2 linked regions of the Alligator mississippiensis genome follow. The protein of the gene in region 2 interacts with the protein of the main gene of each other region in a biochemical or structural test. Links are inferred from orthologs where the notes say so. Each region holds a gene or a part of one and is shown on either strand. Other genes may lie near its edges.

The links.
Region 1: the proteins of TAL1 (region 2) and LMO2 form a complex in vitro, tested with the Homo sapiens proteins (2 studies listed by BioGRID). The link is inferred for Alligator mississippiensis from reciprocal best matches to the Homo sapiens genes TAL1 and LMO2.

What each region holds. Positions count from the first base shown.
Region 1 is NC_081825.1:217,119,110-217,134,743, forward strand, and holds the start of LMO2 (rhombotin-2), read right to left. Parts: upstream 5,691-15,634; 5' UTR 5,493-5,690; coding exon 5,452-5,492; intron 1,521-5,451; coding exon 1,305-1,520; intron 1-1,304. UniProt on the Homo sapiens protein: Acts with TAL1/SCL to regulate red blood cell development. Also acts with LDB1 to maintain erythroid precursors in an immature state.
Region 2 is NC_081828.1:4,733,178-4,748,594, forward strand, and holds the start of TAL1 (T-cell acute lymphocytic leukemia protein 1), read right to left. Parts: upstream 8,199-15,417; 5' UTR 8,090-8,198; intron 7,542-8,089; exon of another isoform or gene 5,112-7,541; 5' UTR 4,964-5,111; coding exon 4,962-4,963; intron 1,862-4,961; coding exon 1,439-1,861; intron 1-1,438. UniProt on the Homo sapiens protein: Implicated in the genesis of hemopoietic malignancies. It may play an important role in hemopoietic differentiation. Serves as a positive regulator of erythroid differentiation.

The sequences.
Region 1 (15,634 bases), on a different chromosome or scaffold from region 2:
AAAAGTAATGTTAACATTACCTGAAGGTTGTGAAATTTTTCATTAACTCAAGACAGCTGATGAACACATTACACTTAAATAACTGAAAACACCCAGCATAGAAAATAGCATAGAGATTTAGTAATCTTGTTCCTTTGGTCTGTTACTCTTTCATTTAAAAAGTTACCAAGTATTCAGCTAGTGGAAGTAGGACTGGATCGTTGTTAGAATATTACATACACAGGAGATTTACAGCCTGTCTCATTATTGGGGCCAATTTGTCCATTATAACAAGCATATATGCCTAGCACAGCAAGCCTAGCAGAGCAAAAGCATATATACCTAGCATATCAAAAATCAATATGCTTTAACTGTAATCAAGAACATGGAACATGCAAGCTCTTTATAATCAAGTTAATGGAAAATATATAAAATTGAACTCATCTTATTTATCAATACTTGTAAGTGCAAAATGGACAGTGATTTACTAACACACAAACTATTAAGATCGGATTGACAAAAAAAAACAAAACATTTGTACACAAGGCAATGTTTAAGTACATTCTTATCCTTCTGACTTCAAGTTAACAGGATGCTTTCTTAAACTGGGACCGTAATTATTTTAATATGATAGGACTGTGTAAGTGTAGTGCCTTGCAGCCTGAGGAATCCTAAAAACCTACAAATTGAAGCACAAAATTAGAAACAGGGATTAATTCACTCACTGCTGAAAGACAGCCACTCCACTAGATAATAAATGCACAGAAGCATCACACAGTAGTTCAGTTAAGTAAAGAATCTCTTATCTAAGTGGTATTATGGTAATGGCAGATATGGAATTTGGCCAAGGCACCAAGACACCTTATTTTTACAAATTTGCCAAAAGATCTTTCATCACCAATTGTCCTCAGGGCTTCAGTTATAATATCCTTGAATCCAAAAGGCAACACCTGCAGAACCAAAATACTCTTCAAACCATTGTAGGACATTGGCTCATTACCAACTAAAAGGAAAGAGTCTGCTTATTGAATTTCCAACACCATTTCCTATGACATCTACTGAAGGTGTTCCCATGCAGGCACCAAAACCACCTAGTTATGCTGAAGCTGTGGATCTGGGCAGCACCACTCAAACATGGTACCATATCTGTAACTGCCCTCAGCCTTTATATTTTAGGAATAAATTAATCATGGCAAATTCCTTACAGTTCTTATGCAGCAGCATCACTGGGGATCCAACCTTCATTCTAAATTTGTAACTAACTTTGAAACTGCAGAAAGAAAGCAAACAAGAGCAGAATGTTGTCAGATAGAGGGACTCTGTACCTGAGATAGTCTCTCCTGCAGAGTTTCCTGCCCAGTTTATAGTACAGTCGTCTCCCCACCTCTCCGAGTCTGCACCCACACAGGTCACAGCTGAGGCAGTCTTCATGCCAGTACTGATCAATGGCTTTCAGGAAATAGCGGTCCCCGATGTTCTGTTGGCAACCTCCACATGTCAACAGTGAAGGGGGAATTTGGAGCACCTCATCCACCGGCTCCCTGAGAGAATGAGCAATCGTTGGAGAAGGAAAAACCCTTTAAACCAACTAAATAGGAAGAAAAAAAGCTCATGACCAAATTAGAACAGGATTTATGGCCAGTTTTTCCTCCAGCTAAAGTCAGTGGCAGTCCCCTGCCCTCCTCTTGATATCACTGGGAACAAGGGTACACTTTAATTTTGTTTTTAAAAAGGAGAATAGCTAATATTTCTGAAATCACCCAAGTGGAAAAAAATATTTGCTCTTCATTTCTTCTGGTTCAAAGAGTTGCATGTGAACATGACAATCTATACAACCTTCCAGTCTGTTCCTTGGTGTAAAAACATTGAATGTATTGTTAATTAATTTTCTATGGACATGTATTGTTTTCCTCTACTGGACAGAATTAGAATTGCCCAGTTTGAGTCTAATTCCTATACAAGTGCTACAAAATACATGAGATTCTTCTTAACCTAAGGGATTGGGGGACTGTACTTTTGCAGCAAGAGATCTGGAGTTTCTGTTTAAAAAAAAAAATGTTTCGTTCTTGTCTACATATGCTGATAGATAGCATAGTGATAGCTATAAAGTCCAAAGATTTGTTACAATATTCTTGACATTTTCAAATAGCTCTCTTTGTCCAGATTAAAATGCAGAAGTATTCATGACAGAACAGCTTTTGTGGTGTCTTCAAAAGGGTTTGTATATTTACCAGTAAACATCAAAAACCCAACTTCATGAACCTGTTTAAACCCCAGGATGTGTGTGTTAGGTGACTGAGAACCCCAAACATTATTGTAAAACAATTGCATTTGTTTTTAGGAATACACACTTCCCATATTGCTGGCCTCATCTTGAAACTCTCCCTCTTCAGTGTTGCCACAATCAATGGGAATATTGCCTCAATAGGGGCTACAAGTTTGGGAGAGTTATATGAAAGTATCCTCCAAGCATGAGGTCACATGGGATTAACCTCTCTCTAGGGAAGGTAAATTTGAAGTCTAAGCCTTGTGATGGCATCTGTTCTAATAGCACAAAAATGAATTTACACAACAGGTGAGACTCTGGCCCTATTGAACCCAATAATAGTCCTGTCATGGACTTCAGCAGGGCCCGAATTTCACCCAGACTTAATGCAGAATTTATCTTTTATTCTGAGTAAAACAACTAAGGACCTGATTCTGATCCCAGTGTACTACATGGACTTTAGACCACCATAGTTCTATGAATTTCAAGGAGTTATGGCTGATTTACACACCGGGGAAAGAAAATCAGCCACCCACCTCCTCCCCATTCTTTTTTGTAGTACTATATTAAAGGGCACTTTTGCACAATTCCAAAGTAACATTTTATTCCTATCCTATCATTTGTAACAAGCACTAAAATAAAGAGCAGATGCACTAATACAAGAGGGCTAAAGCTATACTTTTTTTGCAAATATGTTTACTTAAGAAAGTCTCAGTGTTGCCTTTTTGCAAGTTCTAGCAATACTATGAGCAAAAATTACAAGACTAGACTGTGGACTCAATCCAGCAAGGAGCAGAGCATGCTGGCCCCACTCCCACCAAGCATTTAGGGCCACATCCAAAGCTCAGTAAAGCCAATGGAATGATTCCATTGGATCAGAACTTTAAGCACACACTTAACTTTAAGCATGTGACTTGTGCCATCCATTTACTCAAGTAGTTTGCTGGATTGGGGTCAGACAGTGCCCAACGCCTTGCAGAAATTAGCCCTAAATTCTTAGGTACATCATTCAGTTATTGGTATAGCCAACGGTCTGTTGACAATTTGCTGGCGGCCTGTACCCTGCCAAACCTGGGGGGGGGGGAGGAAACAGAGCATAACTATACTGAGAGAAGTCAGCACAACTACTCTGAGTGCAGTCAGCACTTCCCGCAGGCTGCAGATACTAACATTTTTCGATCCCCTCGAGTTATATTATGCAGGACTTCATCAGACTTTATTTACTGGGAAAATAGCTTTCAAGTAAAAAGGACTTTCTTCAGGGTCTGAAATATGTACTGTGCTCCCTGACTTCCCAACAAGGCCTGATCCTGCTGTTTTTATGCAAGCAGAACTCCCAGAGCAGTCAGGATTTGGTGCCGATAAAGAATCTGTCTGCCTGCAAGCACTTCTATTTTTCACTGTCACAGTGCATGCTGTTCTGTCCTCTTACTGTCTCATGACTACCAGCCCCCACCTTCCCCTCTCTCCCCACAGCCCACTACACGTGGCATTGCTAGCAGAGTCATAGGGAGTTGCTACAAGCAGAGGATCAGGCCCTAGATTTTCAGAGCATACGCTCTGTTTCTCTGGTCCATTCAGTGCAACCGACACTGCATATAGAACTACAAAGGAATTTTATGCCGACTTGAAAACATCATGTTCTAAAGAACACAGAACACAGCATTTGTCTAAAGCAAATCCAATGGACTTATACTGTAGCAGTTCCTCTACCATAAATGTATCTCTCTTTGTAAGATTTGTGTGCCCTATGATATTTTATATTATTCTTGTCCCTTTTCTTGTCAGTTCAGGATCTACGACTGAGTTATTTGAAACCCTATTTTGGCTACTAGCATCCTAAATTCTGAAATAGCCTAGTAGAAGTTTATTTGGAATTGGATTTCAGGGGGAGATTTTTTTTTATGAATTTGACTGTCACCGCCTGTAATAATTCACCAGAACACCAACTAAATAAAAAAAAAATGTTTCAATTTTGTAGCTGAAATTCAGGTAGGACAGAGGGGGGAAACTACCACAGAGGTTACATTATAATTCCTTAAAAAGCAGAATATGAGGAAAAACTAGCTAACTACCTTAGCATCCCTGTGAGCAATGCATGAGAGGAGGGCTTCAAAAGATGATATTCTTAAATGCTTTGCAGGAAACAAATCCCAGATTAATGAAGCCTTTTATAGGAGGGAGGGAAACAATGATTTAAGCTTTACTTTGGACACTAGAATTGTTGAAGTTTTGGTTTTTATTCTGTGCTGTCACGATGCCAAGGAGGCACAGACCAAGTCTGAGGCACTGCTGCAATGGAGATGCGCAGCCCTGGAATTGAGTGCCATGACACCACATGGTTGGGCTGAATTAACACGCTTCTCACAAGCGTGGGTCTGCGTGTGCTTGGGTCTGAAGGGATGCCTGCAGGAAATACACTGGAAGAGCCAGCTCAGAAGGCTCCTGTCAGATCCTGAATGTAACCACCCTCTTTCCACAAACCTAGTCAAAAAGAAAGACAAGGCTCCCTTTAGACTTCCCCCTACCTACAATTCTTTGCTCTTCTCAAGATCCCTGGTCCATTTTGGCATCTCCATCCTTAGAGGTTTTGCAGACCCAGGCAGACAGAGCCTCCGCTGGAATGATCTAGCTGGGGACAGCCCTGCTTTGAGGGGGGGGGGGGGATGGACTAGATGTCCTCCCTGAGCTCCTTTCCAACCCTCTTTTCAGCCACCCCCCAGCCAGGCAGTTAATACCATCTCTCGAAAGTTTCAAACTGCCTCTGGCCTGATGAAAATGTGGAAGTTGAGCACCCATCAGATAACAGCTCTGACCTTTCAGTCTAGTCAGCTGGGGAGGGGGGGCAGATCAAACATGGGGCAGACTGCAACACTCCTCAAGCTTTGGGGAAGTCTGGCTGGGGCTTCGCTGGATCTCCAGGAGAGAAGGGAAAGAGATGGGGAGGGATGGCTGGTGGCTCCCCCCCTCCCAAAGCCCGTGTGCTGGGATGAAGCCAGGACCTGGCTTCGGCTCCAAATGGAGAAGCTGGGCTGCACGCCGGTCCCCACCCGCCATCCTCGCACGCCAGAGCCCTGCGCGCTGTCAGGCAGCCGGGGGAGGCAAAGGCAGCCGGGCTCTCTCACCTCTCCCTCCGGAGCTCGCCAGGTCCCGGACAGCACCGGCACCCCGGGAAAGAAAAGGGGTGAGGGGGAGCTGGCACTTACTCGGAGGGGTCGAGGCTTTTCCTCTCGATGGCCGAGGACATTGGCAGGCTGGGCGGCGGTGGGATGCGCCCCCACAAAGGCAAGGCGGTGTGCTCCGGTGCCTGGTCGCCCGCGGAGTTTCCCCTCCGCCCCCCAAGGGCACGGGCGGGATTTCCTCCTGCCGCACCACAGACGCGCACACAAAGCGGGCTGGGCTGGGCTGGGCTGGGCTGGGCTGGGCCGGGGCGTCCGCGGGGCTGACCCTCCGGAGCCGGCTACCCTCCCATCTCCGCGCCCAGCTGTCACTGCCGCGCCCCCCGCCCGGGCAGCTCTGGGCACGCCGGGCCGAGCGGGCTCTCTGCAGAGGCGGCGCCCAGCCCCAGCATCATGAGGGCGAGCGAGCGCAGCCCCGAGCCCCCGCTTTCATTTCCTCTTCCCCCGGCACGACTCCGATACAATGGAAGGAAATCACGCTCCGACACACAGCTGCCCGGCCCGGCTCGGCTCCCCCTGGCCCGCGGGCGGGGGCGGCCGCGCACGCAGCAGCATCCCGCGGGGCCGCCGGCTTAAAGGGCCAGGCGGGCTCTGCCTGAGCCAGGGCTGGGACCGCAGCGGGGCGGGGGGTGCTCCGCAACGGAGGGCAACACTTCTGGGAAATGCCCCTCAGGGCTGGTTTGCTTTTAAAGCGCCCCCTACTACGTTACTGGCCAAAGGCACTTAGGTGCCCTCTCCATCCACCCCCCTTTGCTCAAGGCTTCGAGATCAGGGCATGAAGCACCCACTATTATTTCACCGAAATGCCCTCTGCATCCAACCCCTTTGCCCCAGGCTTCGAGATCAGGGCATAAAGCACCCCCTACTATGTTACTGGCACAGCCAAAGGCATTAAGTGTCTTCCTCATACAAACCCCTTTGCCCAAGGCCTTGAGATCAGGGAATGAAGCATCCCCTACTATTTTACTGAAATGCTCTCTTCACCCAATCCCTTTGCCCAAGGCTTTGAGATCAAGGCATAAAGCACCCCCTACAATGTTACTGGCACAGCCAAAGGCATCAAAATGCCCTCTTCATCCAACACCTTTGCCCAAGGCTTTCAGATCAGGGCATAAAACACCCCCTACTTTGGCACAGCCAAAGACACTTAAGTGCCCTCCCCATCCAACCCCCTTTGCTCAGGGCTTTGAGATGAGGGCATAAAGCACACACTACAGCAGAACCAAGCCTACCCTGATCTGTGTCATCCGTGCCTGTGTCTCTCCTCTGTGCCTCATATAGTCACTGGTGTCTGCACAATTGTCCTGCTTAGTAGCAATATAAGAAATTTATATCTTGCCGGTGTTTGCCACTAATGAGCTATAAAAGCTCTGGCATGGAAAGGCTTGATGTGAAATGAATCATGCCTAAGCTAGAAATGGGGAAGACCCTTCGGAACCTGCCACCTCTCTCCTGCCTCTTGTCCCTCTTCACCCCAACTCCCTAGCAAGGCAGGATGGTTCTCTCCAGCCTGTTCTGGTGCCAAGTGATTTATGCTATTGAAATTAAACCTATTATTGCAATTACAGCCCTTTTTTTTTGTCCTGTGAATGAAGCATGAGGTGTTGGCTGTTGCTGGGGGCAAGGTCCTGGAGTAGGTGAACTGTCTGCTCCAGTAATTCCTATAAATACAGTGGAAAGCACTAGTGACTCCAAGGAATACCTCATTTATCTATTATTCCCATTTCAGAAATTTCATCTAAAGTCTATTTTGTGACTTTTTTCTAATCTTTTCTCCACCCCCTGACCCAGTTCTTTGGCAACCAGGGGAATAAGAACCTGAAACACATTAAAGGGCTAAGTTCAAAGTCCAGTGATGTCAAGGGAAACACTCCTGCTGAATTCAAGGGGCTTGGACCAGGCTTTATCAAATCTTTAGAGCGCTGGTTTTCAACCTGTGGTCCACAGACCCCTGGTGGTCCACAGGCTATGTCCAAGGGGTCCATAAAAAATAATTATGATCAATCAAAAGTATGTGAACACCCACACTTACAATTCAAAGCACCTCCATTCAAAATTTCCAAAGGGGTCTGCACCTCTGTTTGCAAGTTTTTTTAAGGGTCTGCAAATGAAAAAAAGTTGAAAACCACAGCTTTAGAGCCATCATTGATCATTAGGAAATGCCACCCTGTTTCCTTAAATAGCCTGTCTCTAATACACTTTAAACTCTTACAGTGTGATAACCACTCTGCTAATCAAATATTTTTGGTCAAAGAAAAATAGCTTTATAGGCAGGATTGAATTATATTCTGAATACTTAATGTCACATATATTGACTTTATGATCAGGAGTAAAAAATAAACCTTTCTGAGAGACAGAATAATTAAACTATTAAAAGCCAGAATAATTCAGCTGCCTGAACTTGATGGCAGCTTTATGGATTAGAAACAAAGTTTAAAGGGGGATTAAGAATATATATAAGGACTGCAATTAAAAAAAAAATCATGGTTAAAATAAAAGGACCAAGGATTGTGGGGAAAAAATTAACTTTTTACAATAAATGGAAGGGGCCAGATTCAGCCATCAGTTAATTTTGTGCAATAACTGTTTCCATAATTAAATGCCAGACTCCAGAGAATTGCACAGGTATAAAAGCAGAAAAGCAGAATTTGGCCTAGTGTATCTTATTATTTTTATATAATATAATGCACTTGAACCTGGTTGAATTTGAAACTCTAAATCTGAAAACAGATCATACAGATTCACAGTTCCATACTCAACACAAAGTATGTGTAGAGTAGGATTTTTCCAAGGGGTTTTACTCCCAAGGTGGGCCAATGATCAAAGTGTTTGTTCTAAAAGTCTTTTTAATAATAAAAAAAAATGTGTTTCTTATTTCAAAAAACAAGGAAATGCCAATATAAAGGAAGGACCTATTGGATACAGTCCAGCCACAGTCTAAACCTAACAATGGGTGAAAACCTTCAAACAAAATATGTAGGGTTGAATCCTGCAAGGTGCAGAAACTTCTCACTGGACATCATTGACCTCAAATGGAGCATCTCTGCCCTGGTCTGGACGTAGATGTCAAGCAGAGAAAACTCCTTCAAGTCAGTGAGACACTTTGGGCAGGAACCTATTTCACTGTATGCCCTCAAATGGCACTTACCCAGCTGTGTAACAACAGTTTGTGACACTTGATGCTTACACACAGGATGACCAAGCACCCACATGGCTACTGAGCATACTCTGTAGGTTATATTCTGGTTGTGCAGCTATGTAGCACCATACGTGTATACCTGGGTGAGCAAAAACCCTAAAACTGTAGGCAGATAAAAACTGGTGGCAAGTAGGTATTTGAAGAAGGGAGAATGGGTAACCTCCCATGTTTTAGCCCAATAGACTAGGGGTTATGGAACTCCCCCAAAAAGTGGTAGATCTAGGTTGCAGGGCTTCCTCACTCAGACGGAGGTTGAGTCTATACCTTCTGTTTCCAACAGTGCTCTAAGCACCAGGTTGCAGGTTAGGTATTATGCACATTGCTCTCCTTAAAGCTGAGCCACTGCACCTTGCATTTATCACTTGGCAAAGTGGATGGATGGAGAACAGTGGAAAAGTTTGTGTCCCACTGGGCACAAAGTGCCAAAGTAGAATCTAGGGACTTCTCTTTTCCAGGGAATCAGGCATGTCACTGAACCATATAGCCTCCAGCTTGTTTTCTTCCTCCTGGCCCTACATAGCTCTTTATTTCTTGGCTGCCCAGGGAAGAAGAGGCAGAAGAGAGAATTGTATAATGTCTAACCCATGGCCAGGTGGTAGACCACTTTGCTAATAACCAAGAGATGGAGGGAGGGGACTATAACCTGTAACCCCTGTTTCCTTGATAAGAGCCTCAATGATTTGCTTATTATGCTAAAACCTGGTGGAGACCCTCTTCCAACATCTAACAGCCATTAGTTATTGGCTTTTTCCCAGATATAAATTGAGGATTTACATGAATATGATGCCTGGCCAGGGCACAACCTACTAAGAATACTTAGCATCTTTGTGAACACTTATACGTCTAGGCTACATGTAGAAGAGGACCGCAAACTATGCATAAGGGTCAAAAACTGCAGTTACATGGCAAGGTAAATGCTATTTGGGCACATAAATGAAATAGGACTATGCCCCTCATGTTCTTGAAGTTAAGCTCACTGAAATGCTTTTTCTGGATTTAACTAATAGGAACCTCTACCACAAATGAAAGACTGAAGAAAGTGGGAAGCAGCTGGTTAATGGTGAATATACCGGAGGAAGCTTTTTACATGTTTTGTCATTGTGCTGTCTGCCAGGTACAGGTCCTGGTCAGGCTTTCACATCATGGACAAATTGTCCAAAGGTGACATAATCAGTTCGTTAATTGGAGGGTATGTAAAAGTGCTGGCAGTGCCACATGAATCATATAGATACTACCTACATACAGATCTTTAGAATAGTGGGGCAATGACCAGGAGAAGAAGCTGTCTTATTCTCCTTCTTTTCCATGGAAGTAAGATGCCAGCAGATGAGGATTAAATCAAGGGGAGAAAAAACAGGAATCATCTGGGTGGTGCATAAAATAATGCAGGTATCACTCCACTGTGCTTAACTGGCAGAAAGCTCCAACTCAATCTGATTAAACAACAACTAGTGATCAAAAACTACTGCATGAGGATTAAATTTGGCATGGCACCTTAAACAGACTACACTGTAAAGACATAAGGTAACACTTGACCCCCTATGGCAGGTGGGATTTCAAACTGCACCAGAGATGGTCATTTAGCAAGCAGCACAATGATAGAAGGTTAACAGAAACTGTCAGGAAGAAGTGTCCTGTACTGATGGGCATGTACCAAACTACAGTTGGCATTAACAAGATGGTTGAGTAGAATTTCCATCTAAAATAAATGCCTTTCCCTAAACTTCCCTAAACCAACCCTCAGTGAATTAAGAGGCAAAAACCCAAGTAAAGAAATTCTCAGCCTCCTAAGAAAGAGCCAGATTTCTAGCATCTCCTTTTGGCTGAGGAAAATGCATATAGCAAAGTAACTGATTTCCTGGGACAACTCAATTTCTCCATATTATGTCAGGTTTGTAAATGATAACTACTGATTATGAACAGTGGAACTGGATATTTCAATGCACTCATGTGAGAAGGAATGGATAAGGAAGGACCTGGGGATTAAGGCTGGTTTATCATGTGCTGTGGGCAGGTTGCTTAATATCTCTGTGGCTCAGTTTCCCCATCTGTAAAATGTGGAATGCAAGTTTATTCCAATTCTGTATCTGAAAAAAATGTTCTTATACAAGGCATTGAGGTGCCTACATTTCCTGCATGGGGACAAAAGACCAGTACTATTTTTAGTGTTCCATTTTCTTGTTATTGTATCTTTCTGCTTGCTGTCACATTTTCTAATGTTGTTTAAAACAAATTTTTATATCTATCGATAGCTTGAAACTCATGAGGGATGAGTGTTGGTTTCAATTAACTTTCATTAAGATAGATGACACTGTAGATTTGCTCTTGAAACAAGGCCTAGATCAAATCCAATGTTATTGACTGCATTCAGCATGCAGCATTTGGACTAAAGGGCTGCAAATAAACAGGCTGCCCCTGTCTGCATATTTCTTAGTGAGTGCATTATATGTAAAATTGCAGAGCTCCTGTCAGCAATGTCAGTCATGCAAAAACGTAAATTTGTGCATTTCCAAAAAAAACACATCCTATGTTGGAATTTGAGGAACATTTTTTTAAAATTACTGCTTTGTATCTCCTCTCGGATGGTGTGACAGGGAGCAATCTCCCAGTCCCGGTCACAGTATCAGCCTGCCCACCTGTCTAGGGCAGTCTGCCTGGTCTCTCCTGCCATGCCTTTTTGTTACAATAATGGTTGTAATAAAGCAGAAGGCTGCCCATTTAAGACCCCAATGCCTAGGGGTTTGTCCATGACTCCAACCCTCCCTTATCAATTCCCATGCCTCACAGATGTCTCCTTTTGAATTGCTCTCAATGGCAGCTCGTGGCTGGGCTAAACACAGCCCTTTGCTTAGCCTCATACATTCGTCCTTTCTCTCTCTACCTTAATGGGCCTCATTCACACCACCCACTCTCACCAGGCCTCTAGCACTCTGCCCACTCTCACTGGGCCTCTTACATGCTGCCCCACACTGGGCCACACTCAACTTGCCCTGCTCCCTTGAGTGGCTCCCATAGACCATCAGGCTTGCCTACTCACGTGCCTTGACTAGCCAATGAGAAATCTCTTGGGCCCTCTCGCGACACTCATCCAAACAGTAACCAGCCAATTCACCTCTCCCTGGATGGAATTCTGACCCAAAGCCCCTTATTAGGTAACTCATTACTCTCTTTCCCTCACTAGGTCTAATTACTCACCCACTTGGCCTCAGGCCCACTTGCGGCCTCAGGCACTTGAAGACTTACCTGGGCCTAGCTGCTTCTTTCCAATACCCCCACTGTCCCCCGCCTCCGGGGCCTCAACACACATGCCTCTTCTCTGAGGCCCACACTCTGTCCCTATGCTGGGGCTTCAGGGTATTACACCCCGACAGACACTCGTGCCTCTCGATAGGTGTACTTGGCCCCACTATCTTCCAGGGTCTTACACTCCCATGGGCTCGGGAACCTCTTTCCTGGGTGTGCCTGGCCCCACTACCCTCTAGTCATAATGACCCACCAGAAGGTGGGAGCTGGGGTTATCAGGCACCCCTACCGACCTTTCACTGGCGACATAACTGGCCTGACATTTCTGGGAAGCTGTCCTGCCATGGATAGCCCCACCAGACCACCCTTTCCTGGCAGGGTACAGTTTTCGGTCTTACCCAAGATCAAGCAGGCCTACCTGTCCTAGTCTAGTTCCCTCATTAAGGCACCTGGCTGATGTCCCTTCTCACTCTGATCCCATTCCAATATTATTGGAGCCTGCATGCTGGCTAACCCCTACCCTCTTCAGCTGTGATATCCCTTCCATCAAAGGGACCTTCAGCCCACATGGGCTCTGACCCCATCTCCAGGCCAATCAGGGTGCCAGATAGCTCACCTTGGTCCTGGCCTGCCCCTCGTGTTATGCATAACTACCCTTTGGCCCGGGTCCTCTTGGATTGACCAGTGTGAGGGATCAGAAAGTCAGTCTAGTAGCTGCTGACCCCCATTCTCCAAAGGGATCCCTCCTGGGTCTCACCACAGAGCCCCTGGCTTGGCCCCTGCCAGATCTACTTGGGGCTTGCCTAACCCCTTCTGTAGGCCTACTAGCTGTTAGCCCCCTTGTTAGCCTGGGCCTTGCTCTCACTAGGCCAAAGCCTTCTTCCTGGGGCTCTGGGCCCCACTACGCCTGTAGGAACGTCCTGCCATCCCCATAGTTCCTCCCTTACCACCAATGTTGTGAGCAGCAGCTCAGTCAGGTGTTGTTGCTCCCCAGCTGCTTGCAACAGACTGCTACCTCAGCCCTGAGAGCCTGGATCTTAAAACAGCCGCCTCACCAGGGCTGGCCCACACCTGCCAGCTGCCCGCTCTCAGCCTTAAAGTGGCACTTACCAAAGGTGCTCTGCCACTCACCTCTCCCCTTAAAATGACTACAGCGGCAGAAGGGTCTCCCTGATGCTCACCTTGCAGGCTTCTCCATAGCTTACAGCAGCACACTAAGTGGTGAGCATCCCAATGGTGTTCTGCCACAGATAGGATCCCAGGACTCTTTTTTGCAGTTACAGAGCTTAGCCTAGGTAGATCCTGGCATTATCTTCAACCTGACAGCATCTAAGCATTATCCACAGATTACCCAACAGTGTTGAACCACTTAAGATAGCACCTTTCTAGAGAAGTCTGTAAGTAACAAAGAGGAACTTTGCTTTTTCAACAATAATGGCTGAACATGATGTTGCTTTGTATCCTAAGGTGCAGCTTAATGAACTGATGCTACAAGAATTCATTCTGATTGTAGTCTGAATTTAATGTTAGCATTCCATTAGCTTCCAAAGCCAAGTCTAGGTGTCTGATGACTAGCACAAGGCACTGGGTGGCTAGGACTCCTGAGTTCTATGCTTTATTCTGCCACAGCTTAATTCTCTGGCTTTGGGCATGTCATCTCACCTTTTGGTTCCTTAGTTTCTCTATCTGCAATAGGGTTGGCCTATTTTAGATGACCTGTTCTGAAGCTTAATGCTTTGGTGTTTGCATACTCCTTTGAGATCCCTGGATGAAGGTGTTATAAAAAAGTAAAGTTTTTTTTCATGTCCAAACTTGACACCGGCCTAAACTGTACAGAAGTACAGACCTTCTGATTAAAGGTTTAACTGAAGTCCTAGCTGTCTACCTCTGGAGTCAACAAAAGAATTCAGGGTAGTTTATGAAAACTAAGTGAGACAAAATGCTGAGTACCTGTTGGCTATAATATTGCAATGTAACGCAGTTGATATTGATATTGTAAAGTGCTGCAAGGGGATGTGTGAGAGGTGAAAGCAACCTATAAAACCAATTCCTTTTTCTTTTTACTTGCTATCTTGTCAAGGATCTGGAAAGCTCTTTTATTGAGTAACTTTCATAATGTGCACTGCATCTTTCAAAGCACGGTTTCATTTCTACACAGGATTCTACGCTTTTCTCCTGAAGTTTAAAAGGAACTAGTTGCTATCATTCTTTTTAAGTTTCCTACAGCTGGAAATGGTGATAGGCTGTTAGGGAGTTTCCATGAGTGAGAAGAGCCATAATTGGCTTTAAGTCTCTTGGTAAATCATGATTGAATCCCCCCCTGACCAAGAATACACTTGTCTTATTCAGGATTAACCTTCTCTTTCAGCTGAATCTACCTTCTAAGACACTGAAGAAAACAAGAATACCTACTTTGGGTGAGGTTTACTGTGGAATCTAGCTTTCCAGATAAGAAGTTTGGTGCATAAAGAAGATCTAGGGACTACATTTTTGTCTTATTTCCTTCAACTGGCAACAAAGATGAAATCAGCTTGTTTTTACAGCTGAGAGAAATCTTCCACTGCAGGTCACATGGCAGATGATGAAAACTAAGTTACAGGCAGCCAGATGAAGGGATATTTCATCAGAGAAATGTATAAAGTTTGTTTTTTTATTTTTCTCTTTTTTATTGATTTCTCTTGCTCCCATCAAGACCTTACTGTCTTGCACACAAGCAAGATCAATTACTGTAAGCTCCTTCCTCCTCAAGGCCATTGCTCTTTTGTGTTGTGTTTCAAGTAATTTGTACCTTCCCTCTGTAAAGAAGTTTTTTTCTGGTGTGGCACTGCCCATACACAAGTCATGGACACTAGGGTAAATTAACCCCACTAGGGTACAGACAGTCTGTTAGAGAGAGAGCACTTTCTGGTTAATGGGCAAAAGCATCTTTCATTTCAGTAGCAGCCTGCCCTGAAATCCACTAAAGTTAAAGGAAAGACACCTTCTGACTTAAATAGGCTTCTATTCAGGTCCTAAAAGATTTGCCCTTAGACAATGACCAGTCACTGGGAATACAAAACAGTGAATCTCTCTCAAGTGAAATGCCAAGGGAAATTATTGAATAAGTAAAGACTCTGTAGTTAAACCTTTGCTGGGAAGACTCCGTCTTTTAGAATAATGATGAACAACACACACACAGTAGTGTTCATCTTCCAGCTGTCTGGCAAACAATGGATGCATTCATGTTCACACAGCCTAGGTGACTTTACATGACTCCTTGCCAGGATCTTTGTTAAAAAGCATATTTACAAACATATCCCTGGTACTAGTTAGTACACCTAGTATCCAGTATATCAGTTAGTAGATGGAGTCACCTGGTAGACATAACAACTTTGACATTAGCTGGTAGTTGCATTAACACTGGCATCGTCTGGTAATATTCACAATAACAGTCATCACCTGAAACTCACAGAAACATTGCTGGTACCTTATATACCATTTTTATTCTTACTGTTAATTACTCATCAGCTCTTAGCACCCTTCTAGATACTAGTTAGAAGCACCACTCCTGGTATCACCAGATATATATGTACATTCATCCTAGAGTCATTAAAGAGACAAAGTCATTTAGCAGATAGACAATAGCTGATGAGACCTAAATTCTATTCCCAGCTCTGCCACAGGTCTGATGGGTGATCCTAGGTAAGTCACTGCACTTTTCTGTGCCTCGGTTTTCCCATCTATAAAATTGGGTTATAATAGTGATTACCTTTGCAAAGCACTTTGAGA
Region 2 (15,417 bases):
GTAGATAGCATGTGCAAGAAAGCACCTTTCTTAACTAGCCTGACATCCATCTATTATAATCAGTAATTCATCCTATGTGTATTATATATAAGCAGTATATAAATAAATATATATGTATACATATGCAGTATATAAAAGTAGGAGAGTATGTGTGTATATATATATATTGAATCCTACTTCTGAGAGGAACTACAAGATATAACAGCATCAGCCAATGCATGTATCTTTATTTACACCCACTGCCTGCAGCATATACTCTAAAGCACTTTCTTCTCATGGTTATGATTCTTGATCCGGTTAAAAATCTCACACCCTACCTAGAGCTAAGAGATTTCTTCAAGGGAAAAAATACTGAGTGCTACATCCATTGTGTATTTGCTGCATTTACACCTCTGCATTTAAAATTCCAGCATGAATGGTCTGAATATAGATCATTCCTGGGGAAAGGGAATGGTTTGAAATCCAAAGGGCTATCCAGATGCATATATTTGAAAATGCACCCATATACATCACCGCACATCCCTCTCTTTTTACACACACACATCCCTTTGCCTGTTATATGTATTCAGATCATAATAATCACACAGATTTGAAACCCTCTAGTCACCTCAAGACCCACTAGACTTTTCAGTCACCTCCAGACCCATCTGGACCCTGAAATCACCTCAAGAGACATCTGGACCCTGAAGTCACCTGATGAGCATCTGGACGTTTCGGTCGCCTCCAGACTCATTTGGGCCCTGGCATCACAACACGCGATGTCTGGACCCCTAAGTCCCCTCCAGACCTATCTAAACCCTGAAGTCACCTCCAGACCCACCTGGACCCTGCAATCACCACAAGAGACATCTGGACCGCTAAGTCACCTCCAGACTTATCTAAACCCTGAAGTCACCTCCAGACCCATTTGCACCCTGAAATCACCTCAAAAGACATCTGAACCCTGAAGTCCCCTCCAAACCCACCTGAACCCTAAAATCACCGCAAGAGTCATCTGGACCCTGAAGTCTCCTCCAGACCCACCTGGACCCTGAAATCACCACATAAGACATCTGGACCTATCTGAACCCTGAAGTCACTTCCAGACCCCTTTGCACACTGAAATCACCTCCAGAGACATCTGAACCCTGACGTCCCCTCCAGACCCACCCGAACCTTAAAATGACTGCAAGAGACATCTGGACCCATCTGGAGTCCCCTCCAGACCCATCTGGCCCCTGAAGGGACCCTGAGAGCCCTGGTCCAGACCGTCCTGCAACCGAGAGGCTGCTCTGGAGGATGCCCCCGGCAGCAGGCGCGGGTTGGAGGCAGCTGCCTGCAGCCCCGCGTCTCGGCCGGTGGGCCGGGGACGGGCAGCCCGGCCGGGGACGGGCAGCCCGGCCGGGGACGGGCAGCCCGGCCGGGGACGGGCAGCCCGGGGGCGCGGCGGGGCACGGACCTGTTGATGGTGGCCAGCGGCTGGCCGAGGCTGTAGAGCATGGCTCTGCCGGCGGGCGGCAGCGGCAGCGCGGGCGGGCTCAGCTGCACCATGCGGGCGTCGCAGGCGGCATCGGCGGCTCGGCACAGCTCGGCGCCCGGCGCTCTCTGCATCGCGTCGCCCGGCGCCTCCCTGCCTTTTATGTCGGCGGCGCCTCCCCTGCGCACCAGCTCGATCACGGGCACGGCGGCCGGGGGCGGCCCGGGGGAGGCCCGCCCGCCCTCCACGCTCGCGCCGCTGAGCAGCAGCTGCGGGGCTCCCGGCGCCTCCATGGCCCCGCGCTCGCCCGACGGCTCCGGCTCCGGCTCCGGCTCCGGCTCGCTCGTGCTGTCTGCATCGCGCGGGTCACTGCGGGGCAGCGCGGCGGGCGGCCTCTCCATCGTCCTGGGGAGAGAGCAGGCGGGTGGGTGGGTGGATGGGGGCTGCGGGGAGGGGACACGCGCCCCCCCGGCCCGGATCCAGCCCTGTCCGCCCGAGCCCCCGCACTGCACCCCGGGGAGCCCGGACGGCCCCGCTTCTCGTGTCACATCGTGTCGGGTCGGGTCGGGTCGGGTCGGGTCGTGTCATGCTCTGTCGTTTCACATCACGCATCGTTTTGCTGGGCTCTGTTCTGCCACGGCAGAACAAGACATGCTATGCTATGCTATGCTATGCTATGTTATATGATACGATATGATATAGCACAGCAATACCATATGATGGCGTGTTATGGTCTCTCATATCACACATTATATTATGCTCTGTCCTGTTCTATCATAACCATACAGGACGTGACCTAGCAGAACAAGATGATACATGTCGTCATATTCTGTCATACCACATATTATGTTATGCTATGTCCTGTTGTATCATCGCATGACAACATAGGATAGGATAGGACGTATGGTGTGGTGTGATGTGGTATGGTATAACAATACCATGTTATGCTATGCCCTGCTGTATCAACGCCTAACAAGATAGGATAGGATAGGATAAGATATATAGCATGGCATGACATAACATAGGATAATATAGACTATAACATAACATATTGTATTGTTGTGTTAGGTTATGTCCTGCTGTATCATCACTTAACAAGATAGGATAGGATAGGATAGGATAGGATAAGTGGTACGGCATGGCATAGCAATACGATATGTTATGTTATATCACAGTCCATATCACGCTGTAACCTTGTGCTGTGCAGTTTTTATGTTGCACTGAATCCTAGTCTATCCTCTCCTGGGATGCTGGGTGGCACTAGGGTGCACACCGTGTGAGATGAATAGTGCCCCTAACAGGACGTGCCATATCCTCCAGGAGACATGTTCGGACCTACATCCTCGGAAACGGGCCAGCTCGCCCTGGCGCACTCAGCGGGTGTCTGTACGGATATGCCCCGTATCCGCGGCCTCTTGCAGGCTAAGATCGGGTGTGAGGGGATCCAGGAGCGGAGTGTCCCTCTACACGCCCGTACCATGCACCTGTGCTTGCCAGGCGGATCCGGAGCGTGCCGGGCAGAGCCGAGCTGGGTTTTGAAGCGAGTTTCGTGGCCCCTTAGCCCGTTTGCCAGCCGGTGCTGGGAGCAGGCTACGGAGAGCAAGCACAGCCCCGTTTGGCTGCCCGAGTCCTGCAGCCGCCAGCTCGGGGCAGCGCGGCTTGTAAAAGCCGGAATACATGCATCCATCACAGCTGGGACCTGCCGGGAAAGGCTGACTGTCCTCCCACTGCACAACACAGGGCCGGGGGTGAGCCCACTGCCTGCACTGATAATCCCTCCGTATGCACGGGGCACCTACTGCTCGGCCACAAATACAGCATCACGGTCTACGACTTTAATAGCGAAGCATTAGGGGCTAATCTGCGCACGAGCGAGGGACATATTTCTCAGCAAAACCATTGCGGTAATTACGTTGTTGTACAGAGGCGTGGGTTAAATATTTAATTGGACTCGTGTAACGTGAGCAACCCCAATGGCTTCGGGAGAAATACGCAGTGTGTGTGTGCATGCGTGCCCGCGTGACAGAGGGAATATTTCAGTCTTGAAATTTAGTGTGTGTGTGCAAGAGAAGGAATATTTCAGTACTGAAATATAGGGTAGGATAGGAGATATAGCATGGCTATAGCATCTGTGTGTGTGTGCAAAAGAAGGAATATTTCAGTATTGCAATACAGTGTGTGTGCAAGAGAAGGAATATTTCAGTATTGAAATACAGTGTGTGTGTGCAAGAGAAGGGATATTTCAGTACTGAAATACAGTGTGTGTGCAAGAGAAGGAATATTTCAGTATTGCAATACAGTGTGTGTGTGCAAGAGAAGGGATATTTCACTATTGCAATACAGTGTGTGTGTGCAAGAGAAGGGATATTTCAGTACTGAAATACAGTGTGTGTGCAAGAGAAGGAATATTTCAGTATTGCAATACAGTGTGTGTGTGCAAGAGAAGGGATATTTCAGTACTGAAATACAGTGTGTGTGCAAGAGAAGGAATATTTCAGTATTGCAATACAGTGTGTGTGTGCAAGAGAAGGAATATTTCAGTATTGCAATACAGTGTGTGTGTGTGCAAGAGAAGGGATATTTCAGTACTGAAATACAGTGTGTGTGTGCAAGAGAAGGAATATTTCAGTATTGCGTTACAGTGTGTGTCTGGGTGGGTGTGTGCAATATTGAAATGCACTCTGTGTGTGTGTGCGTGTGCGTGCGCGTGCGGGAGAGGGAATATTTCAGCATCAGACCGCAATGCTTCCCTTGGAAAACACGCGCAGTCCGACCTGGCTGGCCCAGCAGAGCCAGGCGCCCGGTGACAACGGTGCCCATCTGCCCTGCTCCTAGCAAAGCAGGGCTCTGCCCCTCCTAGAGAGGCACTTTTAAGCTCCGGAGGCAGGCAGGAGCACGGTCCCAACGCCGGTGTCTGTAGGCGACTCCGGCTCAGTTGATGTTTCCTGTTTTGCAGACACAGGATCCTTTCTTTTCCTTTTTTTTTTTTTTTTTTAACCAAAGCAGAACCCGTGAATTTGGCCCCCACTTTCGCCTGCAAGAGCCAAGCGTGGCGCTTGCACACCGGTGCTCCTGATAGGAGAGGGCCTGGCAAAGCTCCTGTTGCAAAATATAACCCGGGCTGCCCCTTCTCGAGGCGGTCAGTGGGGGAAAGGAGCCCCCGCCTTGCCAGGGGTCGGTTGCATGGAGATGTCTAGGAGCCCGGGCACTTGCCCCTGGGGCAAGGGGAATCAGCCCTAGCGCGCTATATCTCTCTTGTGTCTGTGCCTGATGGAAGTAAAGCGGGGCCGGGTTCAAGCGCAAGCGTCAGGTCCGAGCCCAAGCGAAACCTGGGGAACCTGGATTGCTTTTGCCTCCATTAGGGTGCTTGGGAGAAGACCTGAACCCTCCCAGCATTTCTTTCTCCCCCTCCTCCCTACCCCCCACCCACCCTCCCTCTTTAGCCGCCCCCCCAAAAAGCCCCCTAATTGCCCATTCTGATATTGCATAGGAAGAGATTACTCACATCTGTCATAGTTAAGTAGGAACACCTCGAGTCTCCTGTCTCAACAAAAGACCTCTCGGTGTCAGGCTGCCTTCACTCCTCCCACCGCCAGCATACTCACGACTTCGCGGGGAGGAAGGCGACCCTCATCCGTATCATGCGGCTCAAATCCTGGAAGGGGAAAAACACCAACACAACAACCCAGGGGATCTCTCGCCCGGCTTCCTTTAGACCAACGGCACTTTGGAGCGGGGGAGATCTGCACCGAGATAGACGGAGCAGATGGAGAGATGTGCAGCTACCTCCCCCCCCCAGCCAATCAGGAGCCCGCAGCACGGCCCCTGCTGCCCTTGCCCCTGGGCCCCCACCTCCTGGGGGGCCAGAGCCCGGCGTGCGGGGCAGGGGGGACGGGGTGTCAACACATCACACACGCGCACGTGTGTGCGTGCGGACACATCCGCTCCAGATAGACCCGGGAGTATCAGCACCCCTTATCAGCGCCTGCCCATCTGTCTGCAGGCACGACCGGGCTCTCCTCGCCTCTGTCCCTAACGGATTCAAACACAGGCAGCATGTTTGTGGAAATATTTAGCTTAATATAGAAATATAGCCACGGTTTGCATTGATTGTGAATGCAAATCCTTTTCTTTTCTTTTCTCTATCGTATACTAATGTATTGTTTATTCAATTTTATTCGGGTTGCTCTATAATATAATATTACTCTCTATTTCTTCTATTCCAATCGTATCCTCTTCTTTATTCTACATATTTGAGGTGCTCTATAATATAATATTACTCTATTTATTTCTTCTATTCTATTCTATTCTATTCCCTATCGTATCCTATTCTTTATTGTATTTTATTTGGGGTGCTCTATACTATCATATTACTCTATTTATTTCTTCTGTTCTTATTTTTCTATTCTATTCTATTCCCTATTGTATACTATTTTTATTATATTTATTTGGGGTGCTCTAAAATATAACATTATTTATTTCTTCTGTTTCGTTCCTTATCGTATCCTATTCTTTATTCTATTTAGTTGGGGTGCTCTATAATATAACATTACTCTATTTCTTCTTTTCTGTTCCCTATCATATCCTATTCTTTATTCTATTTATTTGCTAGATAATATGACTTCATTTCTTCTATTCTAGTCTAGTCTGTTTTACTCTATTCCCTATCGTACCCTATTCTTTATTCTATTTATTTGGGGTGCTAGATAATATGACTTTATTTATTTCTTCTATTCTAGTCTATTCCCTATCGTATCCTATTCTTTACTCTATTTGGGGTGCTCTATGATATAACATTACTCTATTTATTTCTTCTTTTCTGTTTCCTATCGTATCCTATTCTTTCTTCTATTTATTTGGGGTGCTCTATAGTCTATGACTCTATTTATGTCTTCTAGACATCATGTTTAATTATTTTTTTAAACCCTGTTTGTCTGTGTGTAGAGCACACCCCTTTGCCCGTTCACAACAAAGCTCGGAGATCATTTATTTGTACTGCCTGCCTATGGCTATGTTTCTCTCGGCTCCATTTCTCAAACTGATGCATAATGTCCCTGAAGAAATCCTATTCATCCTGGAGGGCCTAAAACTCTCCTTGCAGCCAGGGGAGATGAGTGGGTGCTGGGTGCTGGGAGCTGGGCTGGGTGATGGTCTCCTCCAGGGCTCGCCCACCCCGTCCCGCCCGCCCGCACGAGGGGAACAACTACCATGAGCTTAGTAGAAAAACCCGGTGGCTTGAAAAATAAAATCCCGGACCCTGGGACTCGTTAAATGCTGCTAACCCCGAAGGATATAAAAAGTGCCTGAATGGAGAGGTCCATCTGATAGGCACAGGGGTGCAAGGGTTTCCTAAGGGCGCAGGCGTGCGCTTGGATCTCCCTTGCGATGAACGAAATTAATAGGAAAGAGGAATGAATAGGAAATCAAATCCACCCGAATAACCACAATCAGGAATAAAATAACAAAGTATACCAACATAATAAAAATAAAGAAGAAGCCCGACATAATAATGATGCTGATAATACTAATCATAGAAAAAATGACCATAAAAATGAAGATGCTAACGATAGAAATAATAATGCTACTAATAACCATAATAATAATAATAACGATCATAATAATAATGATGATTATGATTTTAACCAATATCCCAGGGAACCCGCTGTTGGATCCGCAAACAACAAAGCAAATGTGGCTTTGCTTTCTGGGAGCTTTGGGGACAATCCCAATTCCTCCCCACTTCTACAGTTCCCCAGTTCCCGCAAATGTTGCAATGCCAGGTCAATAAAATAAAATAAAATAAAATAAAATGAAATAAAATAAAAAAGAAGGCGAGATCGTTTCGTTTTTCGCAGGAATAAATAAGAGCAGGTCCCAGCCCGTTTGCAGGTCGCAGGTAGATGATTCCCTGCGTGGCCCAGCCTCGAGCCTTATTTTGATTCCCTTTTTTTTGGGGTGAAATCAGTGTGATTCTGGGAACAAGGCATGGGAGGGCTGGAGGAGCCTGTAACTGTCCTGCCTCGTCCCCCGCCGGCCAGCTCGGGCTGGGCTGCTTGCATCTCCTGCCCAGCCTGCTTTTGTTTTATAACCGTGCCTTGGACAGGAAACTCCCCCCTCTCCCTCCCCCCCAACATTAATCCACTGATAAATGTGTGCCCCCCCCCCCAAACCCAAGGAAAAAAAATCGGATTAAAGAACTGGTTATTTCGGAGCCGGTCCTGGCAGCTGGGTTCACACGGGGCCTGTCTAAGCTGCCGGCTCCGCAGTCAAACCCGACCCCGGGGCAGAGGCAGAAACAAAACGCAAGGCACCCCTCGATGAGATGTGCCTCCCCTACCCCGGGGCACATCCATCCTCCCCTGCCCACGGCTGAAATACCCACCCTTTCGGGGCTCAGGCTCCAGCAGAGAAGTGGGGACAAAAATAATCCACCCACCCTTATCCCCACCCCCACCCCGACAACAATCCTTTAGGTTTTTTTTTTATCCATTTCCCTACCATGCTCGACCAAAGTGGGGGGCTGAGGGGGGAAACCCCCCCTCTCTCTCTCTGCCCTAAGGAAGCCCCCTAAAACAATAGGCAACATCCCACCCTTTCCCCTTCCCAGAGAGGCACGGAGTGCTCCTTACTCACCATTTGCTTTTCATTGGTAAAAGTGAGTGGAGCCATTTTGTGGCCTATTCATTGCTGCTATATTTGTAATAAGTGTTGGGTGGCTTCACGGGAGAAGGATCTAATTCCACATCACGTCCAGTTTCCTATTTAGTATGGAGAGCGGAACACTAGAGCAATGTGGCCAAGTGAGATAAGGCCCTAGCAATGGCCCGCCTGCCCTGATAAGCCTCTAAACCCATTATTTATGAAATGATTCATTATTATTTGGCAATTTTATCGAAGGAAAGCGGAAAATTATTGCAGGGATATGCATAGGAATAACTCTGGAATGCATGCCTTATAGCTTTTTATGTGTGTGTGCTTAGATGCTCTTAAAAAGCCACTGCAGAAAAGAGTAATAAAAAATGCACCGTGACTGTCCACAATTTGAATAGCGATTCTTTTATTTTAGTCCTCTTGGAGGGATATTATGCCCCTGCATTTCTTTCTTTCTTTCTTTCTTTTTTTTTTTTATTAAATATGGAACACCTACTCAGTTCTTAATTAAATTTAATGAGCCAAAATAAATTGCTGAGAGAGATGAAGAGATGGGAGAGGAGGTGGGGAAGAGAGGGGTCCTGGGACAATTGGGTAAATAAAGCAAATTAATAGTGGACATTAAAGAAAAGGGGCGCCCCTCCCTTTGCTCGGTGAAAGGGGGCAGTCCATGTCAGTTTCACCTGGATGGGGGAGATCGCCCGTGTCAATTTCACCCCGCAGCGGGGTAGATCTCTCGTGTCAATTTCACCCGGGGCTCAGATGGGCACCTTGAAAGAAACAGCGTTACATCGCATTAAAACGGGATAATTGCTCCGTGTGTCTGCAACCCTGGTGGTGTCTCCCATCCCCTGGGGTGCATTTCTTTTGGGAGGAAGGGAGCAGGACCCTTCTGAAATCCTGAGCTCTGCCTGAAGCAGCTAGGGCTGCCCCAAGAGCCAGGGAGGGTGATGTAAAAAACCCCCAAGAGCAGCCGGGTGCACACACGTCCAGGGCGTGTTTCTTTCCCACCCCCGCCTTTCTTTTCGATGCACGCCTGTCTTCACTAGGCTCGACCTAGCAAAGGCTGCACCTGTTTGCTCTCCCCGGATCCGCCCCAAAATGAGGATCCAAGAGGGCAGGTAGGTAGGCGGCGTCCGCACTCACGCGCACAAACGTGTCCCTGTCTCGAAGTCATGGGCAGTCAATGAGCCCGCAGTCTGAGGGCAAGGGGAGAAAGCCGCTAGGCAGATGCCAACACGAGCTAGGGCGCATTAGGGACACGAGACCCCCAAAACCTATGGCGTGTGAGCAAACGAGCAGATAAAACAAAGGGGAGCCTGAAAGGCTGCACCAGGTGAAGCCGGCAATGCCATCGATGCTTGTGAGCCGAGCCGTGTTGGTCCAAGGTGGTTTTGTTTGTTTACAGTTGCATTAATTGCTTTTGGTGCACCCCCCCATTCATTCATAACCCCCCCTCCCCCAGTATACACACACCAAGTGTCTCGTGCTTCAACAACACGATGCTTTTCGCACTCGGTGTTTGGGATGTCGTTAAAATCCCTTTAAATAGCTTTTGGTGTGTACATGTACGTATACATATACGTATACACACACACACACACACACATATATGCATCAATGGTGTGTGTAATACATCAAAGATAAATACATAGTATATATGGCGCGTGTGTACATATGTGTATATGCGTGTATGTCTCTCTCACTTCCCTACACATGCACACACATACATATATGCATAAATGGTGTGTGTAATACATCAAAGATAAATACATAGTATATATGGCGTGTGTGTACATATGTGTACGTGCGTGTGTGCCTCTCTCACTTCCCTACACGTGCACACACACACATGTATGCATAAATGGTGTGTGTAATACATCAAAGATAAATACATAGTATATATGGCGTGTGTGTACATATGTGTGTGTGCGTGTATGCCTCTCTCCCTTCCCTACACCCACCCACACACATATACATGAGCATGAATGAGTGGGGGGGAGGTATGCGCACGCATAAATATATATAGGGTATTTGTACCCGAAAGCTTGCAAAGAACAGTGTATCTAGTATATAATAGAATATATTTGGGGAGGGGGGGGGTGTATACACACGAAATCTACTACATATAAATGCATGAAAGGTGTGTATGCATGAATGGTGTGTGTGTGTGTTTGTGTGTGGCCATACACACCAAATACTCTTTCTTTCTTTCTATATAGGCGTGCATGTTGTGCGATGGTGATGCACCCCCATTAAGCACGCGCACGCACACACACACGCACACAAGATATATAAAGGCATTGTAACGACCCCCCAAACACGGAGTGCCAAAAGCATCGTGCTGTTGAGACATAACCTCTCCCCTCCTCCCCTTCCTCCCGCCCCTGTTTTCCCCATCAGGACACCTCGGGGCCACGCAGGGTTTTCGCCTGCCGGGGAAAGACACGAGCTGGGGCTCATGCAAGGACGGTGCTGCTAGATCCAGTCCCTGGAGGGTTTATCCAGCCCAGCGGGCATTTAAGCAAGGAATCCGGGTTGATTTTAGATCCCACATCGAGACACCCCCCGTCCCCTTATTCCTCAGGACCCGGCCCCCCGGCTGCAGAAGGGCTGGGAGCTTGCAACCTGGCAAGGGATGGACCACGCCGCCCCACCCAGCCGGACACAGGTCTTGCTTGGCCAGCAGAGAGGAAAGACGGGCAGAGCCAGGGCAGAGGGAAGGCTCCCCAAAAGTAACGAGCAGCCACGGGCTGAAGGGATGCCACTGCTGCAGCAGGTGTGGGAGAGGGAGGCTGTGAGTGGGGAAGAGGTGAATGCGGAGCAGAGGGCTGGGAGAAGCAGGGGGCCGCGTGCATCTGTGCCCTGGCCTTAGGGATTTGGGCGCACAGCCTGGGAACCGGGACATTCAATGCTGAAGGCTGCAAGTGAGAGAGAAACAGGGGTGGTGCAAAACAAACTCGGTCAGTCCCAGGTCACTGTCCCTTTCCAGCCTCCACTCTCTGCCCCGGTGTGACACAGGAGACTAGGCACGATGGACCATCAGATCCGCGGTCTAGAGACAGGATGGCAGAGCCCTTGCACCCCGCAGCCGCGGCCCCTCTTCCTCCAGGCTGGGGGAGATTTCCCAGCCCCTCTTTACTCATTTCCTGCCCCGCGGCCAGAAGCAGCTCACGACCCGGCTGCGTGTGTCGGGGGTGGGAGAGGCAGGCAGAAAGTCACGACCGGGCTGCGCCTCCAGCCAGGAAACACGACCGTGTTCAGCTCAGTTCCTCTGCCCCGCAGGAAGTGTTAAAGATAGAAGAGAGGGGGCTGGGGGGGTTAGATTAGGCAGCCACTTATCTCCTGGGTTTAGATAGGCAAGCAGCTTGATGCACTCCGCTTCACCCTAGTCCCTGCAAGGATCCTGCCCCGCAGGCATCAGCCCTCCCCAGCAGGAGACCTCCATAGTGGGGATGATGGAGCTGGGGCTGGTGCTGCTCGGAGCAGCGGGTTGGACTGGATGTGACCTCCTGAGGTCCCTTCGTTTTCTCGGATTCTGCACATCTATGGCAAGCCTGCCGTGTCCCTAATCCAGATATTCCTTTCTAGCAATGGACACAACTAGTCACCAGAGAGGATCTGGGATGTGTCACAATTAGGGTGAATTCAAACCCCCCCCCCCCCCAGTGCTCCTTGTACCCCTCCATTTTCAGCCATCTGCCCTGTATCCTACAAGCAACGGCCCCCCGACCACTTTTAAGTTTGCCCCTTAGTGCGGTGGCCCCTTGCTGCAGATGATGACACCAGGTCACAACATCTAGGCACCTTGGGTTGGCATTTATCTGCCACCGAACTCAATGGGAGTCTTGCACTGACCAGGCCTTGGGACACATCATTTCTGTCTGCAGACTTTTCCCCTCCTGCCTTTCCTGACTCATTCATCCGGGCTGTCAGGCATTGGGGGCCTGTCCCTTGCTGTGTTTACACAGCGCTTAATACAATGGGGCCTGATCTCAGCAATTTCCAGTATTTTAACAAGGTGGTTCCACTTCCCGGCTTATAACCCCACTTCTGGTCAGGCTCCACCACTATAAATGAATACCTTTGCGGGTGCCCCACTCCCCAGGTGCTCTATTTTGGGGACCACTACTGCACTGTATCATCCCACCCGCACCATCCGGGCTGTAGCCCAATCCCAGGTGGATCTTGCCATGCCTGTCCATCAAGGGGGATGGAGGGCATCTTTTAGTTTCACCATGCTTGTGAACTACGGCAGGTGCCAATTAAACCTCTCTGGAGGATAAGCGCACACAGAGGGGTCCTATTGTAATAACAGTGAATTAATTGGACCAAGCTGAACAGTTAGGAAAAAGGTAGCTGTACAAGTACTGCCCTTTCTGAATCGCGAACAAATGGAAATTACCAGTACAAGCAATGGAAAAATGCATACAATCTTAACCATGACTATCAATGTAAATACAATACCAACTGTTTGAAACCCAAGTCTGACAGATGTTGCAGGCTGGAATCTCGTGCCATTTATCTTGCACCCCCGTCTCTGGGAGGCAGTTTTAAATTCCAAGATTACTTCAGGTGTATTAGCCAAATTCATAGCTAGATCCGTTGTAAACCACACATCCTCGCTCCCTTCTTCTTAAATCTATGCAGGCCTTCAAAAATGACCACCACGGCATGCTTGGAACTGAAAATTGGGGCTCAAGTGTCACAGCAGGAACCCAAGAATTGCCAGAAGGCCCATCTTGTCTGATGCCTCATCTCCAACCTATGACAACTGCTTTGGAAGCAGGCAAAAGCTTTGCAAATTGTGCAGCAGCGCTATGCAATGCAAAGGGGATTGATTTCCGTGGGATATTATCCCTTAAAAATGTAAGGTGGCATTTATTGATGATCCCGTCTATCCAGAAGCTGGTGCTTTTGGGAGTGACTTAGAGTGGCAAGGCTATGCTCCAAGTTTCAAGCTGTTTAAAAATAAAAATATGTTTTTGGCAATTTATATATATATTTGGCACGTGTGTAAACCCTCCCCCCCTCCCCCTACATGCTATTCAAATATAAATTAATACAACTGTCATCTTCCTGTGTTTTTGAGCCATTTTATAAGGGAAACACTGAACAACCTCCCCCCCTTCCCTGAAATAATGAAACAATAGCTCAGAGGTATGAATTGCCTCATTCATCTAAAAGGAATGCTAACCGCCTCTTAACAACATTAACTAGTTTATTGCTTCTTTTTGCAGAAGCAGCCGGCTGGCTTTAATGCTTATCCCAATCAGTAGAGATTTAGGGCTTGAAAAAGGTTCTGAAGTAGCTTCAAAATACACAGCGCATTTCTAAGAGCAAACACATATTCTCCCTCATCAGAGCCGTCCACTTCGAGAGGCTACGACTGCTAATTGTGCAGAGAAAAAGAAACATATTACCGGAGGGTAGCTGATGACATTCCTTTCTATACTGCCATTTCATCTTTAATAGCTCATGCTTTATTTTACTCATGTATTCTTAATCCTCTTGTTGGCACATACAAGAAGGCTTCAGCCTCATTATAAGCCAGGATCTGAACATGCTGGTAGCTCCCATGAAAGAAAAGTGGTGGTGGGGGGGGAGGCAGGGAGGTGGAACCAAAAAGACATGCAGCTGCACAAATGGGCATGAGACAGATGTTGCCTGCAGAGGATTGCAAGACCAGTTAAGAGCACTAGTGATGCCTGTTACTGGGAAGGACACATCTACTCTTGGGTAGCCAAAAACAGAGTGCAAGATAAGCCCAGAAGGCAATCTAGTCCACGCCCTACAGCTCAGCACAGGATGTTTTCTAGTAGCATATGTGACTTGCACATTTTGAGACTACCTTTTTGTGAACCAAAAAGACTGCTGCTTAGAGTAGTAATTCTCAACCGGGGTGCCATCGCACCCTGGGGTGCCTTGAGATTCTTTCAAGGGTGCTGCACAGCGTTAGTATTGTTAGGTAAACACGGTTCACAAGATAAACCCAGAGTTTTCACATACAAACCCATAGTGTTAAAAACCATTGTGACCTGTTGCAGCGATTGATTTATTATTTTTCTGAGTGAAAAAAAAAATGAATTGGCATTTTCCAAGGAGTACCTCGAATCAATTGAGGGGTACCCCAAATCTACTGAGAGGTGGCTGAAGTTTTTACTGAGGGGTGACTTGTATTTAAAGGGGGTGAGGACCACTGGCTTAGAGACTTTGCCTCCTCTTCTTGCAACACCCCAAATGGCCATGTCATAGCCTGGGGGGGTGGGGTTCTGTAGACAAAACTGAATCAAAATTATCAGCCTATGGCCAGAAAGTTAACTCTCCTATCTCAGCAGCACTGTAGTTCAGGAAAACTGGATTCTGCCAAGAGCTCCTTTCTCTGGATTACCACTGTTTTGATGAAGATGCAGATAGTCTATTGTCAAGTTGTGATGCAGCGTGAGACAGATAAGATGAGCCCTATATAAGATATGAGGCTTGGCAGAATTACTGCTGCTCACAATTTCCCCTCAATGTATGGATCAGCATGGATCCTTACCCCTTACCTTAGAACCAATGCAAACTTTGTTCTGATTCTAAATGGACCAAACAGGAGTTTGGATTTTGGCTTGGGTCTTGCATTTAAAAAGAAATGAGTGGCACTAAGTTTTCCATGTACTGCAAAAACCTGCTAGTGGGCTGGGTTGCTGACACTTAAACTTTGAATGTTTTTATGTTCAACCTACTTTGTCCAAAAAGCTCGGAGGTCCTGTTTTAAAGGCACGCTGGTAGGGGAGAAAAACTCGTCACTTCTAGCTTTTCAATATGCTACTTCAGAGTATGTTTTGCACAGAGTTAAAGCAGCTGCTATTCCAACCTGCCTGGCAGGCTAAAAAGTGGTCAGTTTTATGGAAGTCTCTTGCTCTCCATGGTCCAAAAGCTTAGCACATGGAGGTGGGAATACGTAAGTTTCTGAGGGAAGGTGACACTTAGAAACCATCATGTGTATCCATCATTCACTCATTCTGTCCAGTAAAAAAAAAAAAAAAAAAAAAAATGTTGATTTAACATAATCTTAAGTATATTCATGGGAAGCGGGGGAAGAAGTAGAAAAGAGGATGGTTCTGGCTTCATTAGGACACACCGCACTAAAGAGCAGTTTGTTTTCTCATGCAAGATTCAATCCAGCTTCAATTACATTCAATGTGAAAAGGGCTGGCACTGACTTCAATCGGAGGTGGACCAGGGCTTTGGTCCCGACACAGGAAGTGTCAGCTTGGGCTCAACATCCCATAAGCAGCAGATCAGAATAAAAAGGTGCACAAACA